2 linked regions of the Oreochromis niloticus genome follow. Each later gene encodes a partner of the first gene's protein in a complex. Links are inferred from orthologs where the notes say so. Each region holds a gene or a part of one and is shown in the gene's direction. Other genes may lie near its edges.

The links. The genes of interacting proteins can lie anywhere in the genome.
Region 2: the proteins of hltf (region 1) and protein S100-A10 are in contact, whole or in part, in a crystal structure (PDB 4HRE), measured with the Homo sapiens proteins. The link is inferred for Oreochromis niloticus from reciprocal best matches to the Homo sapiens genes HLTF and S100A10. Residues at the interface, in NP_001305864.1 of Homo sapiens: Thr32, Phe33, Phe34, Pro35, Phe37, Phe39; in NP_002957.1 of Homo sapiens: Phe42, Asp58, Leu59, Asp60, Gln61, Gln70, Ser74, Leu75, Ala77, Gly78, Leu79, Ile81, Ala82, Tyr86.

Annotation. Positions count from the first base shown.
Region 1 is NC_031983.2:20,228,486-20,235,530, reverse strand, and holds the start of hltf (helicase-like transcription factor), read left to right. Parts: upstream 1-4,035; 5' UTR 4,036-4,181; intron 4,182-4,482; 5' UTR 4,483-4,484; coding exon 4,485-4,685; intron 4,686-4,796; coding exon 4,797-4,963; intron 4,964-5,349; coding exon 5,350-5,492; intron 5,493-5,598; coding exon 5,599-5,684; intron 5,685-5,893; coding exon 5,894-5,965; intron 5,966-6,179; coding exon 6,180-6,371; intron 6,372-6,473; coding exon 6,474-6,548; intron 6,549-6,641; coding exon 6,642-6,702; intron 6,703-6,781; coding exon 6,782-6,836; intron 6,837-7,045. UniProt on the Homo sapiens protein: Has both helicase and E3 ubiquitin ligase activities. Possesses intrinsic ATP-dependent nucleosome-remodeling activity; This activity may be required for transcriptional activation or repression of specific target promoters.
Region 2 is NC_031985.2:17,139,026-17,145,866, reverse strand, and holds protein S100-A10, read left to right. Parts: upstream 1-4,686; 5' UTR 4,687-4,839; intron 4,840-5,785; 5' UTR 5,786-5,806; coding exon 5,807-5,935; intron 5,936-6,069; coding exon 6,070-6,231; 3' UTR 6,232-6,322; downstream 6,323-6,841. UniProt on the Homo sapiens protein: Because S100A10 induces the dimerization of ANXA2/p36, it may function as a regulator of protein phosphorylation in that the ANXA2 monomer is the preferred target (in vitro) of tyrosine-specific kinase.

The DNA of each region.
Region 1 (7,045 bases):
CTCAACCTGCGCTTTCTTCTTCACCTCTCTTGTGCACTGTCCATTGCTTTGCACGGTTAAACCCAGGCATTTAAACTCACCCACCTTCACTACCTCTTCACAGAGACTTCTGCTTGACCTCAGCTGTCAACGTGTCCCATCACCATCGCCAACAAGAAAGTGCTCAGGGCAGATCCCACCTCGACCTTAAACCCATCTGTCACTCCTCACCACTGTCTCGCTGTTCTCCTACATGTCCTGCACCACCCTCGCACACTTCTCTGCCACTTCCTGATATAGTAATATAGTTCCTCTCTTGGCACCTTACCATATGCTTTCTCTAGCTCTACAAAGTGCAACCCCTGACCTTTTCTATACCTTTTTATCAACACTTTCAAAGTAAACATTGAAGTTACAATCACAGAATAGCTGTATTACAATACCATCACTATTGTGGGCAACATGCAGTGACATTGTGGTGAGCTACTCTGTGAGTCTCACTCCAAGCATAAACTGTGCTTAAACTGATTGCATTTAGCTTTAAGCCTTTCAGCATAGCTTCAGGTAGCTGGTTTTAGCATTTCTCTCTTAAGTGACAACTCTATTACCAAAAAGGTTAATACCTGAGACCAGTTGTCAAGCATGGTGATTGTGGGTCACAAGGCCTGGCACCTTGCAGTCGTTGAGTCAACCATGCTTTCCTCCTATGGAGCCAAATGTGATGCCCACTGTCCAACAACTAAACTTGTTTACAATTGGGTCTAGACAATATTCCCAAGCACAGCAGCAAATCAACCACAGAATGGCTGAAAGAGAAAAGAACCAAGGTGTTCCAATGTCCCAGTCAAAACTCACACCTCAAACTGACTGAAATACTATGGCTGGACCTTAAGATAGTTGTGCATAAATGAAATGATGTGAAACTGAAACAAAGGGAAAAGTTTCACATTTAAGAAGCTAGACCCACTTGTTTAGCTTTTATGCTTTAAAAAAATACAAAATTATGAAAAATAGTCAGGTTTTCTTTCACCCAATCACCTAAGCTTCTAATTGAGCAGTTATTTCAGCTCTACTGAAATATGTTGCCTTTAAAATCTTCTGTCCCGCCAGGCCAGCAACATGCCTGTGCCTATACCATTTCTATTCCTCATTCCCCACTCTCTCACTACATCAGGGTACTTTCTATTCTCCGTGGTTGGCTGCGATCAAGGGAAGCCCACTTCCTCATCCTGGAACTCCCTGAGCCACAAAGGGTCACAGGATCACACCAGCCAACCAGAGAGCGGAGAACACGGCCGGCAAGATGTTTACAGGAAGTGGACAACAAGTCTTTTGTATTCAGCTTCTATAAAAGGAAATTCTGTGGAGTACTTCCTGGAAGGAGTGATAATGAGTGATGGAAGGAGTGATGAAGCCACGCACAGACACACAGCTTTCTTCCACCTTCCTTTCATTCAGTGACATAAATATGCAGAAACATACAGTTAGATGAGAAATCACACATTTATGTGCACCACACAGACAGAGACACAGACACACACACACACTGTATTTACGTTCTTCCTCTTCCCATTTACGTCCCTTCCCTGACCGTAAGTCTGACAGTAAATGAAGCATAAACACGCTGCCCAGCTGCACACCCACAATGAACACCTTATCCTGTTTTTCCAAACCCCCGTGTCAACAGTTTAATGGCTCAAAATAATCAACCTGCAAGCAACTTGAAGGCTTTAGGCTTTGTATCAGGTGCAGAACTAAACTCACGAATCAAAGTCGCAATGTTTTAGCTTCCTGCTCGATTACAAAAGTCACAGTGTGAATGGAGAAATGACAGGCACAGATTTACAGATGTATAGCACTTTTTGGCAAGCCAGAGCCACGTGATCCCCACATTGCTCCGATTTTCCAGGATGAAAGTTGTTTTGGCCAACACCTTTTAGAAAAAGTCATGTTTAGCTCTTGTTTTAAACAATGTCTAGAACTGACTATAATATATCTGATTCATTTTCATACAGTTAGAATTGATCACGTGCTGCTTTACAGTGCACTGACTACAAGTTTGTTAGAAAACTACTAAATTCGTGATCGTTCTTTATCAATTTTAATTAGAAACAACAACAAAAATGCCTTTAAATGTCATAAAAATGCACTAATTAGGTTTAAATTTGATTTAAGTGTGTGATTTCTCTGCAAGTACAGGCTGTATTCATTTAAAGTCCATCTTACTTAAGTTAAAAATGTGGTCCTACAGATGTAAATCACATTCAAGAGTGCAACTTCAACACCTCACTCTCGGTACCGTCATTACTAAAGCAGGTTTTGCTTATTTATAGACTCATATCTGTAGAATAGATTCCAGCGGTTTGTGTGAACACAGTCCCTGTAGACTGACATCACTTGGGTTAATTATTATATTACTTTGACAATATGACAATGTGGCCAAGCCAGCCACAAACCCAATTCACACTGGTATCTTAATTTTTTGCCTCCTGTACTTTATTATATACATTTTTTTAATCTCATCTAGTGATCAGTATGATCTAGTGTGTTCTCAGTAATTATGGAAGGAGATGCTATCCGGTTTGGGTGCTTCCTGTGCCAGAAAAAGATCAAACCGAAGCAAAATGTTTAAGACAAGTGTTGCACTGACTAGTGAATGAAGAAGTCTTAACTTACCGGTTGCTGTCAACCGCAAAACTCAACCGCACTCCGGCCAAAACTACCAAAACTCCGCCCCGTGTCTGTTTGTTTTCAGTCCGTTTAAAGCCCAGATTTGACGCTGAGATTTCACGACAGCCCTCGCCGCTGCGAAAAAGCAGCCGACTTTTATCACGCTACAGTTTGCCCTCTTTTCTCTCCCCGAGTGTTTTCAACTTGACTCCGTGCTCGGGCCGGGGAGGAACCTGGCGGAGAGGAAGCGAAACAAACAGAGCAATCGGAACCACGCGGCTTCCGTAGTGCTTTTAGGGCAAAACTCAAAGGCGCGTAAACGCAGCTCCTGCGCAACATCCGTGGCAATAACATCGGAAACAACAGATCTTTAATTTTCAGAATAACACCCAAAAGGGCTGTTCTGATTATATAAACGTATCATCTTCCATTTTTAAAAGTATTGATTAACTAATTCACAATTCTAAAACTTGGCACAATGATCAAAAACAAGAATTAAAACATTTTTGGTGGTTTTTGAAAAAAAAAAAAAAAACCCCAAAATATACTGCCGTTTGTTGTATTTTCTTTGATTAATAAAATATACTGGTCTAAAATTATGATGAGATATAGAGCTTCACATTAACAGTAAATAGATGTGTAAAGTACAGTACTGTCTAGATCAAAGATTCAGGGTCTGATCCATCCCCCATTTCTTCTTATTGCATGAAAAAAGTGAAATGAGTGCAGCTATTTATTGAAACATGTGCAAACATATATGGAAATACTGAGTTTGCACAGTTCTAAAGTTCTGAGCTTGAACTTCATTCTTCAACACGGGCTGAATTCTCTTAGGCAGTGTTTTTTTAATTTCTTTAAAAATGCCATCAGGAATCGTTCTCCAGGTTTCTTGAAGGACATTCAGGGCTCTCTTTGGATAGTGGTAGATGGTCCCACACTTCTTCAATAATGTTCTGGTCCAGGCTCTGGGGAGGCCAGCCCATCCTTTCTAGATGGTATTATTTGGTGGCTCAAAATCTGATGGTACTTTTTTGTGTATCATAATTCTATCAATTTTGACAAGATCGCCAGTACTACTGGGGACCAACACACAGATCCTCCACTGTATTTTGCTGGTTTCTTTTCTGATTTCCTTTGCAGACGTAGAGGGAAAAGAAAATATGTAGACCCTAATGCATGGTGCAACCTGTCAAGTGAGGTATATTATTTGGGTGTATGGTTTTGGTGGTGGTAAAGCAGGATGTTGATACAGGATGAGAGGTGTCTTGAATAAGGTTATCGCTGTCTAATCTCTTTTTATTTTACAACTCATTTGATGACTAAACGTGAAAGCTCTCATATAAAAATGTCTATTTACTGGGCGATCTTTTTAAACGACGATAATAATTTATTTTGAAAAGTACTACCGGAAGTTATAGAGCAACTAAAGCCGATTTTACTTTTTGAATAAGCAGCAGATGAAAGTAGCTCAAACGTCAACAAAATACGTCAAAAACAACAAACTACAGTCTTCACCGAGAGGAAGTTAAACAGTACGAACGATTTGTTTCATGTCGACACTCTGTAACAGTCTTTTATTTGTATGGACACACTACACATGCTAACTCTTAATAGCTTATAAGTCTGTATGTAGGTATAGGTTGACAAGCTAACTTTATTATATATTGTTATTTATATTATAGTTTAATTCCACTGTTTAAGTGCTATTTCTGCATCTGCGTGTCTTCGAAGTTAGAATGCGTATTTTCTGTCGTTACCGTCTGCAGCCTATCTTATCACATCATTTCAGAGTACTCTGTTATCTAAACTCATGTTCTTTTATCTCTGCTGCAGTCATGCAGTTCAACCGCAGGTGGAAGTTTGGTTGGGGCAGGTTCAGTGAGGTGGACCTCTTCACAGATCGCCATGAATCCAATGCAGAGACTCTCTCACAGGCCATCAGAGCTGCAGCGTCTGAGGAGCCCGATGCAGACGGCAGCGTGTTGTTTGGCCAGCTCAAGGGAACCGTGGTCGGCCTCAGATATTACTCAGGGGTGGTGAGGATCAGTCAGGGTCTCTTTTATTCCTCTAGTGGACAGAGGAGACAACACAGGTCAGAAACATGTGGAGAAACCTGAAAAGCAAAAGGTGTTTTTATCTCTGGACAGGTGAACCAAGGGGAGATGGTCGGTTTAGTGCGGCAGCCTCAGAATCCATATGACCGCAACGCAGTGATGGTTGCCAACATTTATGGAAATCAAGTCGGACACATCAAGAAGGAGCTGGCAGCAGCAATGGCTTACATCATGGACAACAACTTAGCTAAAGTAGAAGGGTGAGCTGCTATGTGCCCGAAACTATTGTCCCTTTCAGAAAATAGGACTATCACTACTTGAACCCCTAAACAAAAGCACTCAGGTGTTGCTGACCACTAAAATCACATTATTTAATCAAACTATTTACTCCTTTTTTTGTACATATATTCCTTATAGTGTACTGTTTTGGATAACAAATGTAGGATCCCTGGTTTGCTTCCAAGAGAAGAGACAAATCCCTTTGGGGTTGTGCAGTAAGGGAATCTTCCTGCAAAAATCTGCAAAACCAAACATGTGACATTGTCATAGTGACATTGAGCTGAGGCGCATGTTCATTATTAGAGGATTAATGTTGGCAAACTGTAATTTCCTTTGTGTACTAATACACTTCTCATTACTTTTTCAGGGTGGTATACTCGGGGACGAAAAACACCTACACCATGCCGGTGATGCTGTCCTTCTGGGGAAAAGAAGAGAGTAAAAATTCTGTACTGGAACATATGTCACGCCGAGGATATAAGCTGAACACCGAGGGAGGCAAACTGAAAGGTACGCCCTGCACAATTGCTGGACTTAATTAACTCAATTTTAATGTGTGTCTGTGTGTGTGTAAATGCTCGTGGTCCTTCATTTACCTGCATGCGTTGGATTTCAGGCGACAATCAACAATGGTATAGTAGACAAGATGCTCGCGCATATTCATCAAAAAAAGGTGTGACCACTGCACTAACTGCTGATGAGGTAAATAAATTACATTAAATGTTTTAGTAGTACTCTGTAAGGCTTTATAGTTTATAATAAAATAATAATAATAATGATTATACATTTTATTTATAGGTCCGAAAACACAAGGACACCTTACAAGCAAATAAATAACAAACTCATGGGATGGACCAACATGTATCTGTGTTGAAAACAGTGTTTTTTTACTTATATTTTTTTCCTTTCAGCTAAAAAATGCATTTGATAACCTTTTCGAAGGGTTGATGGAGAGTAAGGATGGAGAGAAAGAAGCTGCTGTGGTAGGTATTATTACCTGCTTTTGTCTGCAATATGTTTTTTTTTTTTTTTACTTTAATAACAATAGTTAAATGCATTGATTGAGATCATTTTATTTTTTTATACTGGAGTTAAGGAAAGAGTTTCGTATTTCTCTCCAAGCTGTCACACCCTTTTGCTTTTCGTTATATCGGATTACAGCTTTAGTGTTTAACATACAACCGTCTCTTTTTCCAGTCTGTGGCTACTCCCCTCCTGCTCCATCAGAAGCAGGCGCTGTCCTGGATGTGCGCTCGCGAAAACAAAGCTGCCCTGCCGCCGTTCTGGGAGAAGAGAGGCGAGCTCTACTACAACACCCTCACGTGTTTCTCTGCCAAAGAGCTACCAGAGAGGGTTCGTGGAGGCATACTGGCAGATGACATGGGGCTGGTAGGTGACACACAGATACACATATTTAAGTGCACACGTCACGTGATCATATTCTAACAGCGTCCACAGTCAGCGTAAATTGCACTGTTTCCTTTCTTTTAGGGTAAAACTCTGACTGTAATTGCACTGATTCTCACCAACTTTCACAAAGGAAAGCCGCTCCCTGTGGAGAAATGTGTGAGTAGGAGTGTGTTGCAGTCTTTTCAGGCAATATGCTTCATGAGTAACTTGTGTTCACTGATTACAAAATGTGTGTTTACATGTGTGCAGGTTGAGAAGGTTTCACCCATTAAAGCTAAAATGACATCACAAATGGCCCTGACACTGGAAGGTACTGAAAACTTTTAACACATTTTATGATTTTGTCGAAACATGCAAATTAAATAAAAGATGTGGTTTGTTTGCTTCAGGAAGCAGCAGTTCAGGTGGAGCTGGAGTGAGTGGCACATCAAGTGGTTCTAACCTGTGAGTGCATTATTGATGTACATTTCACTCAAATTATACAACTTCAATTCCAAAAAAGTTTGGACTCGGCGTAAAATACGTCTCAAAAATAAACTGGGACAGTGGGACAGAGCCATGTTTACCATTGTGTAGCATCCAACCTTCTTTTAGCAAAACTGTAAACATCCATACACCTTTCAGCATTAATGATGCCTTTCCCAATGTGCACG
Region 2 (6,841 bases), on another chromosome or scaffold:
AACAGGAATCTTGAAAACAGCCAATGTGAGTGTCACAAATACCCTGTTGAACCCTATGGAGGTGGTTTTCTCTTCACTCCGTTGACTCCGTTGAATCCAGGTAGGAGCAGACTTTTCTGTGACTTTTATTGTTTAGAGAGAAACTAGACAAATTTTGTCTTGTGGTTGAAGATTCATCTGTAATTATGTTAAACTGGCTGGGTTTTGGTTCTACTCTAACTGCATGTATTTTGTTTCAGTGAAGCTGCTCTTCCTTTTGAAAGGTATGTAAAACTTTTAGTTAAGAATCACATTTTTAAAAAGTAAAGACTTATTGTAAGTGCAGTCCATCTACATTTCTGTCCCTCTGCCGATGCATGCCAAATAATATTTCATGATCCATTTTATTTCTTGTCCAGATTCTTGTACAGCGCTGCAAAAATGTCAGACCCAACAAGACTGGAAATGGCATTGGCTGCAATGTTCAGTGTCTACATGTCCTACCAAGGAGATGACAAAAAACTGACCAAAGAACAATTTCTAAAACTAGTGAAGGATGAACTACCCGTACTTGGTGAGGTAAGGGAAAACACTGTAGTAAATCACTGCAAATGATCACAGTAACCTTAAATGTGTGTCTCGATGTCACTAAAGTGCAATGTAAATGTTTAAGGCACAGCTTAGCATTAAAATCAACTAGCCTCACAAATCTGTTGAGTTTGCAAATTTCTCATAACAGCCTGACTAAAAGCATGAACCAAGAGATACATTTTTTTTTTTTAAATTAATTAATTAAAAGAACAAAGTATTATTAAACTCGGCCCTTTTCTTGTGTTTTGTTTTAATGAAATGAACATAAACGACTGGCTCAAAACTTAAACACCTGTAATGTTAAGTAGAGAAATGGTAAATGCTTTACATTCACAGGCTCTTATTTTCAAAGTTATTAAATGTTTGTTTCACCTTTGCAGGGAAAAAATGAAGATGAGCTCTTCAAGTGTGTCGACCACAATGATGATAAACGTGTGGACTTTGAAGAGTTCGCCTCACTGGTTGCTGGTTGCGCCTGTGCAAGCCATGACGCCCTCCAAAAGGTCGTGAAAGAACTGGATTCAAAAGGCTTCCCAAAGTAAAGCACTGCTGATGTGGAAAGAAACCCAATATAGGCCTTACCTGGATTCACATCAAAACAAAGTCTGTCAAAGACTGCGTTTGTTTTTTCTTTAACTTGATTTGTCTTAGGGATGGATAGAAATGTTTGCTAGTTGCCTATTCACACCTCTGAACTAGTTGTTCCATGTTAGGATATACCCATATTGCCCCCTATTCTCACATGGGCTTAAGAATATAACACTGATGTTTGTGTCCACTGTACCTCCTTCAGGTAATGCTGCCATCTACTGTTAGAAAACTATGCCTATTGGCGGTAGTGTTCAAGTTACTAATTATTACTTTAAAGTAATCCTGTCACTTTACTGATTACTTTTGAAAATAAGTAATTAATCTTTCAAAACATGATACACAACCTGAAAAGGTAATAAAGCAATAGATCTTTTAGTCCAATTCTACTTTTTCTGCATAGTCCATCATATAAAATGTAATCAAATGAATTTTAATCATAACTTCATGCACATTGCATCAAGCAAAAATTAAATTATATGCAACAGTCTTTGACCTTAAGAAATCTGTTTAACATTTAAACCTATTTTCTGCATATTCCAGCATATAAAATAAAATGTTTTGTGTTTACACCCACTCTTTCAAATAGATGCAAGTGTAAAACAGCAGAAAATAAATAAACGCGTTACTTGTAACATGTTACTGTAACGCGTTACTGCCCATCTCTGATTATAGGTAATCCTTTCAGGACTATAGGAATGTGAAATATGTAAACCACTGAAACTGCTGGATGATAAAATCCACCCAGATTGTTTTTAAAGCCATAAAGTTTACTACCTTTTTTTTTTTTTTTTTAACTAAGAAGTAGATAAGCCTCTGAATTCCTGACTTGACCTGTTTCTGAATGGTTTCCTTCTATCCAAAAATACTATTTGACACGACATTCAACAAAATACAAGCTTTCTTGTAATTTACATAGTCTTTAGTTCTCTAGGCTTCTGGAAGGACATTCAAAGCTATTCTTTGAATGTTGGCTGCCTATTGCTCTGTAAAGATGATCCAAAGCTGCTTCAATAAGGTACAGGTCTGGGGGCTGAGGCCAGTCGATAACTGATAGTAATCCAGTTTTTGGAAATGCATTTGTTTCCAAAAACGTTTGTTTTCAGGGTAAACTGTGTAGTTTAATTGAATGGTATACATTCAGTTAGACCAAGCATATGTTCTTAATCATTCATTATTTGAATAAATATTCTATTTTTTATATTTCAGTTGTATTTTAGTACACTACTTATTTTATTATTGCTTCGTGCTTATGAGGGCCAATGATTTAATTTTATTTTTTATATTGTATTTGTACATCTATCACTTTTAAGAAGCCCCAACACCAGAGGCTGAAATGCAGCCCCAGACCATGACAGAGCCACCACCATATTTTATGGCTGTAGACACAGTGCAAATATTGATGTAAAGTTCTTCCTACGACGGGTATGTGGAGACCTGGTTTGTCAGGTTTTTCAGTACACACTTGTGAGAATTAGAAGACTAATGACAACGATTTTGATGTTTGCCAGGAATTACTCAAGCCTTTCTTAAGAAGAACTATGGCCTTAATTTAAATATATAGCTTAAATATAAGTCCCACATTCCTGTAGCACCAACAAAATGTATTTGAAGTATCCAAAATAAACAAAATGACATCTTGTGTAATGTCACTTTAATAATTTTATTACATTAACCTGTGTTAGACTAGCAGCCTGTCCAGGGTGTACCTTGCCTTTCACCCAGTAAAAACTCGGCTCCAGACTAACCACAACACTGACCTGGATAAGTGGTTAATTATTAATAGAATTATTATTATTGACAGTAATATAATTATTATTATATGGAAGCCAAGTAAAGCACAAGGACTTAGGTAAGTGCAGGATGGAAACGTGCGTGGTGTACTCAGTTGCTGGTTATGTTTTTTTGGCAACAAATCTGTGTGAAACTTGTTACTGTTTGTCCTGGTTTCAACTTTTTCAGATGAAATGAAGTATTTATTTCAAACCCTTATCATAGGATCATTCTTTGGATCGTCTGTCTCTGTCCATATCTTCCCTGCACTCTTCCACTCTATACACCAATAATTGATATAGTCATTTTTCTGCCATAATGTGTTTACGGTTCTTCGAACCCTCCCTGCAAAAGATCACCTTTTCAGAAAACTGCTTCAAGAAATCACTACTAATGGAGTCTGATAATAAGAAGAGAACTGGTTTAACCAAGAAACAAAACTGGAAATCTGGACTGACGAGTTATTAGAAAAAGAGAGTTAGTCAAGTACTGTATTTGTAGGTCTTTCAGTTAAAATGATATATTTAAGGATAACAGCAAGAAAAATAGTAAGGTAGAGGTTAAAAAAGGTAGTAGAGGTTAAAAGTGTGCTGGCAGAAATTTGGGTTAAAAAAAATAGATAGATATTCAGTTTGTTATTTGCTTAATAAACTTTTTAAACAGGTTTACAATATTTTAGTTTTCTTGTTAAGCACTGTGTATGTCTGTTTTTACACATTTTTCTACTGTCCTTTATATGGGACAACAGATTAGGATTACAGGATTAGGCTAATAAAGTAAAAAGCACTTCCACTTTGATCAGCTATGAGATTAACATGAAACCTAACATTAATACATAGCGAGATCAAATAGGTTAAAATAACAAAAAGTTGAGTGCAGGAAACATTGCAATAAAGTATTTTGGTGATTTTCATGTTAAATTATGTTTTTTTTTCTCCTTTGTTAATAAAATGAGATACAAACGGATCGGTTTGTTATTCAGACACAGCTTTAACACTGGGTCCAAAGCGTACCATTTGTAATACCCTGTTTTCACCACAATGTGGCGCACTGTATCCATCCAGCTATCTGTCGTCCATCTTTGATATAAAAAGCATTTCAGGATAATAGGAGTAAAGGTTCACCTTATGATAGGAATATAAATGCAGATAATATGAGACAAAACAGTCCTTGAAACCACACTGGCTGGATTGCCTCTGTTGTGAATGATAGCGATAGTTTACAGAATTGAGCTTGTACTCAGCAGAATGCTGCTGATTGGCTCTTCTGCTGATGTGTATGTTTTCCTGTGCTTATCAAAAATCCTGTTCTTTAGTTGCTATTTGTTGTTGTTGTTGTTGTTGTTGTTGTTGTTCTCTGTATTTTGTCTCACAATACCAGACAGAAAATCTCGGGCCTTTAGCTGTCGTATGAATACTCCTTTAGGTATCAGTAAGTCTAACAGGTAAATTACAGATTTTCCAGCCTACGAAATTACAGTAAATAGTTTTTAAAAATCCTTTAAACCTAAGGTGTGTTTATTATGGAGATTAACACAGAAAAGTAGTGCGTGTGTGGGAGGTGGGCGGTGGAGAGGGGCGGGGGGTCTGTTAAACCGGTAGCCTAAACTTTGATGAAAATTTATCTTAAATTCCACAAAAACGGCTTTTAGCTCTTCTATCAGCAACAATACTAACTTTTTCCTTGTTTTTAATTCAGATGACTAAACTTAAGCTAAAGTCGTACTGATATATTTACTCTCCTATTACTCCAGTGTATTAACTGTTCAGAGAGTCCAGCGTCTGCACAGCCACAGTGTGAGTCAGTGCGCACAGCCAGGGCGGCGCCTGACTATAAAATCTCTGTTGCTTGTTGCAGACGTCTGAACATTCGCACCTCTTCTGCTGACCACGTCCCAGCAACTGTACGGTAAGAAACTTTCTGCTCTTGTCCTACAGGTGTGGCTTTGCCACGAGTTTTTTTTTTTAATATAAACTTTAGTTGCTCAAACATACAGACATACAGCTAGGACCCTCTGGGTGTGAGAATAGTGTTTCATATTGTCTAACCTACTTTAATCCGCTCCCAGTCACTGCTTTGTATTTACTGAAGCTCCCTCTTTGTGAATTTCTAACGGTTTCTAACGGATCTGTGTATTTCCTCTGCTGTAACTAAGTTAGGCTGCAACTTTTAGTTAGTTTATTGTGTTTCTTTCTCTTGTTTTCAATCTTTCACATTAATTACACTTTAATTGTTTTTCCAATGTTCTAATTACTTTTATTAATAAAATATATAATTAACATTTTTACATTAAGCTCTGATTCACATTTAAGACAGTTAACTAGGTCTCCATATAGTCGATATAAGCCTTTGTAAGGGTGTGGTTGGGTGGTTGGGTTGGGTGTGGGCATGTACACACATGTGCTTGTTCCTCCAGTGTCCTATCTCATTACTCACATTGAATCCCACCATTTTGGGTCTCACATTTTTCAGTTCAAGTTGTTCACATTTTCCATTCTCTTGCACACAAATAACACACCCTCCCTCCCACTTCTCCTTTCTTTTAACTCTTACAGCTACAAAGACAGTAATTCAAATGTTGAGATTTTCTGTATTTTGCACAGTGGTTTACTAAAATTTCAATGACATACCTTTACTGTCGTCCCACGAGCATCACTCATCAGTGGGAAGTACAACAAAGACCCAAATGTGTCAGCTCCATCAATAATGGACGAGTTTAACAGCGTCACAGCCAAAGCAGCTTTCATAAATGCTTTCTAAGGACTTGTTTGGAAAATGTCAGCTGAAGTTAAACTGGATTGCTATCACTTGTCATAGTCAACATTTTCTGCTGTATCTGAACATTGTTTTTCAGTCTAAACACATTCCAGCAACCATGCCTTCAGAACTGGAAAACTGCATGGAAGGACTCATCAAGGTGTTCCACCGTTACGCCAAGAATGGTTCGCTCACCCGGCAAAACCTCAGACAGCTAATGGAGGCTGAGCTTTCCAGCTTCCTTAAGGTGAGATGAGACCAAAACGTAAATTGTACAATCACGCTGCGCATTATTTACACACTGTAATCCAACACTATGCCACCTCGTGTGCAACCTCACTGTTGCTGATGTATCCTCACACACCCTTTTTTTAAACACAGTGTCAAAAAGATCCTGCTGCTGTGGACAAGATCATGAAAGACTTGGATGCCAACGGTGATGGTCTTGTGAACTTTGAGGAGTTTGTTTCTCTGGTTGTTGGACTGTCTGTTGCCTGTGAGCAGTGCTATCAGCTGGAAATGAAGAAGACTGGAAAGAAGTAGGAAGTACAACAGTGGAAGAGAATAGACCAAAAAGCATTGCTTTTTTTTTTTTGTAAAGTTTTGTTCATTAAAAGTGCTGAATCCTTTTAAACCTCTTGTGTCTTGTGTTTCCTAGCTATGTAATCTTTAAGTTAGACAGATTTGCCTATAAATCTTCAACTTTTTATACATGTGTTTTTGTAAGCAAGCACCAGCACCATTTCCATTTGAGAAGCTGGTAAAGCTTAATCCAGACAGCTTTCTCTGTTGGCATTGTAACTGAGTGAGTACTTTATGTTTCCCCGAGTGTTAAAGGGCAGATGAGCCACTCCCTCCCTGACAAAGTCCCTGCTTTATCACTGCTCTGAGGAATCTGCTGAATGTTGTAGGCATGAACACACCTCTCTCAGTGAGGCATAAACTCTCAGAGGATGTTGCAACTCTATGAATAAAACAGGTGATAACATTGCCTAGTCAGTTTGATTTGTATCTTGCAAGCCCTCAACTGACTCACAAGAACAGCACATCACTGTTCTTGTGCAGATCACAAAAATCCCACTGTGTTTCATGTCTGGTGAAAGTTGAATAACACCAGAGAAAGAGAGAGGGGAACAGGATAACCCCTTCACCA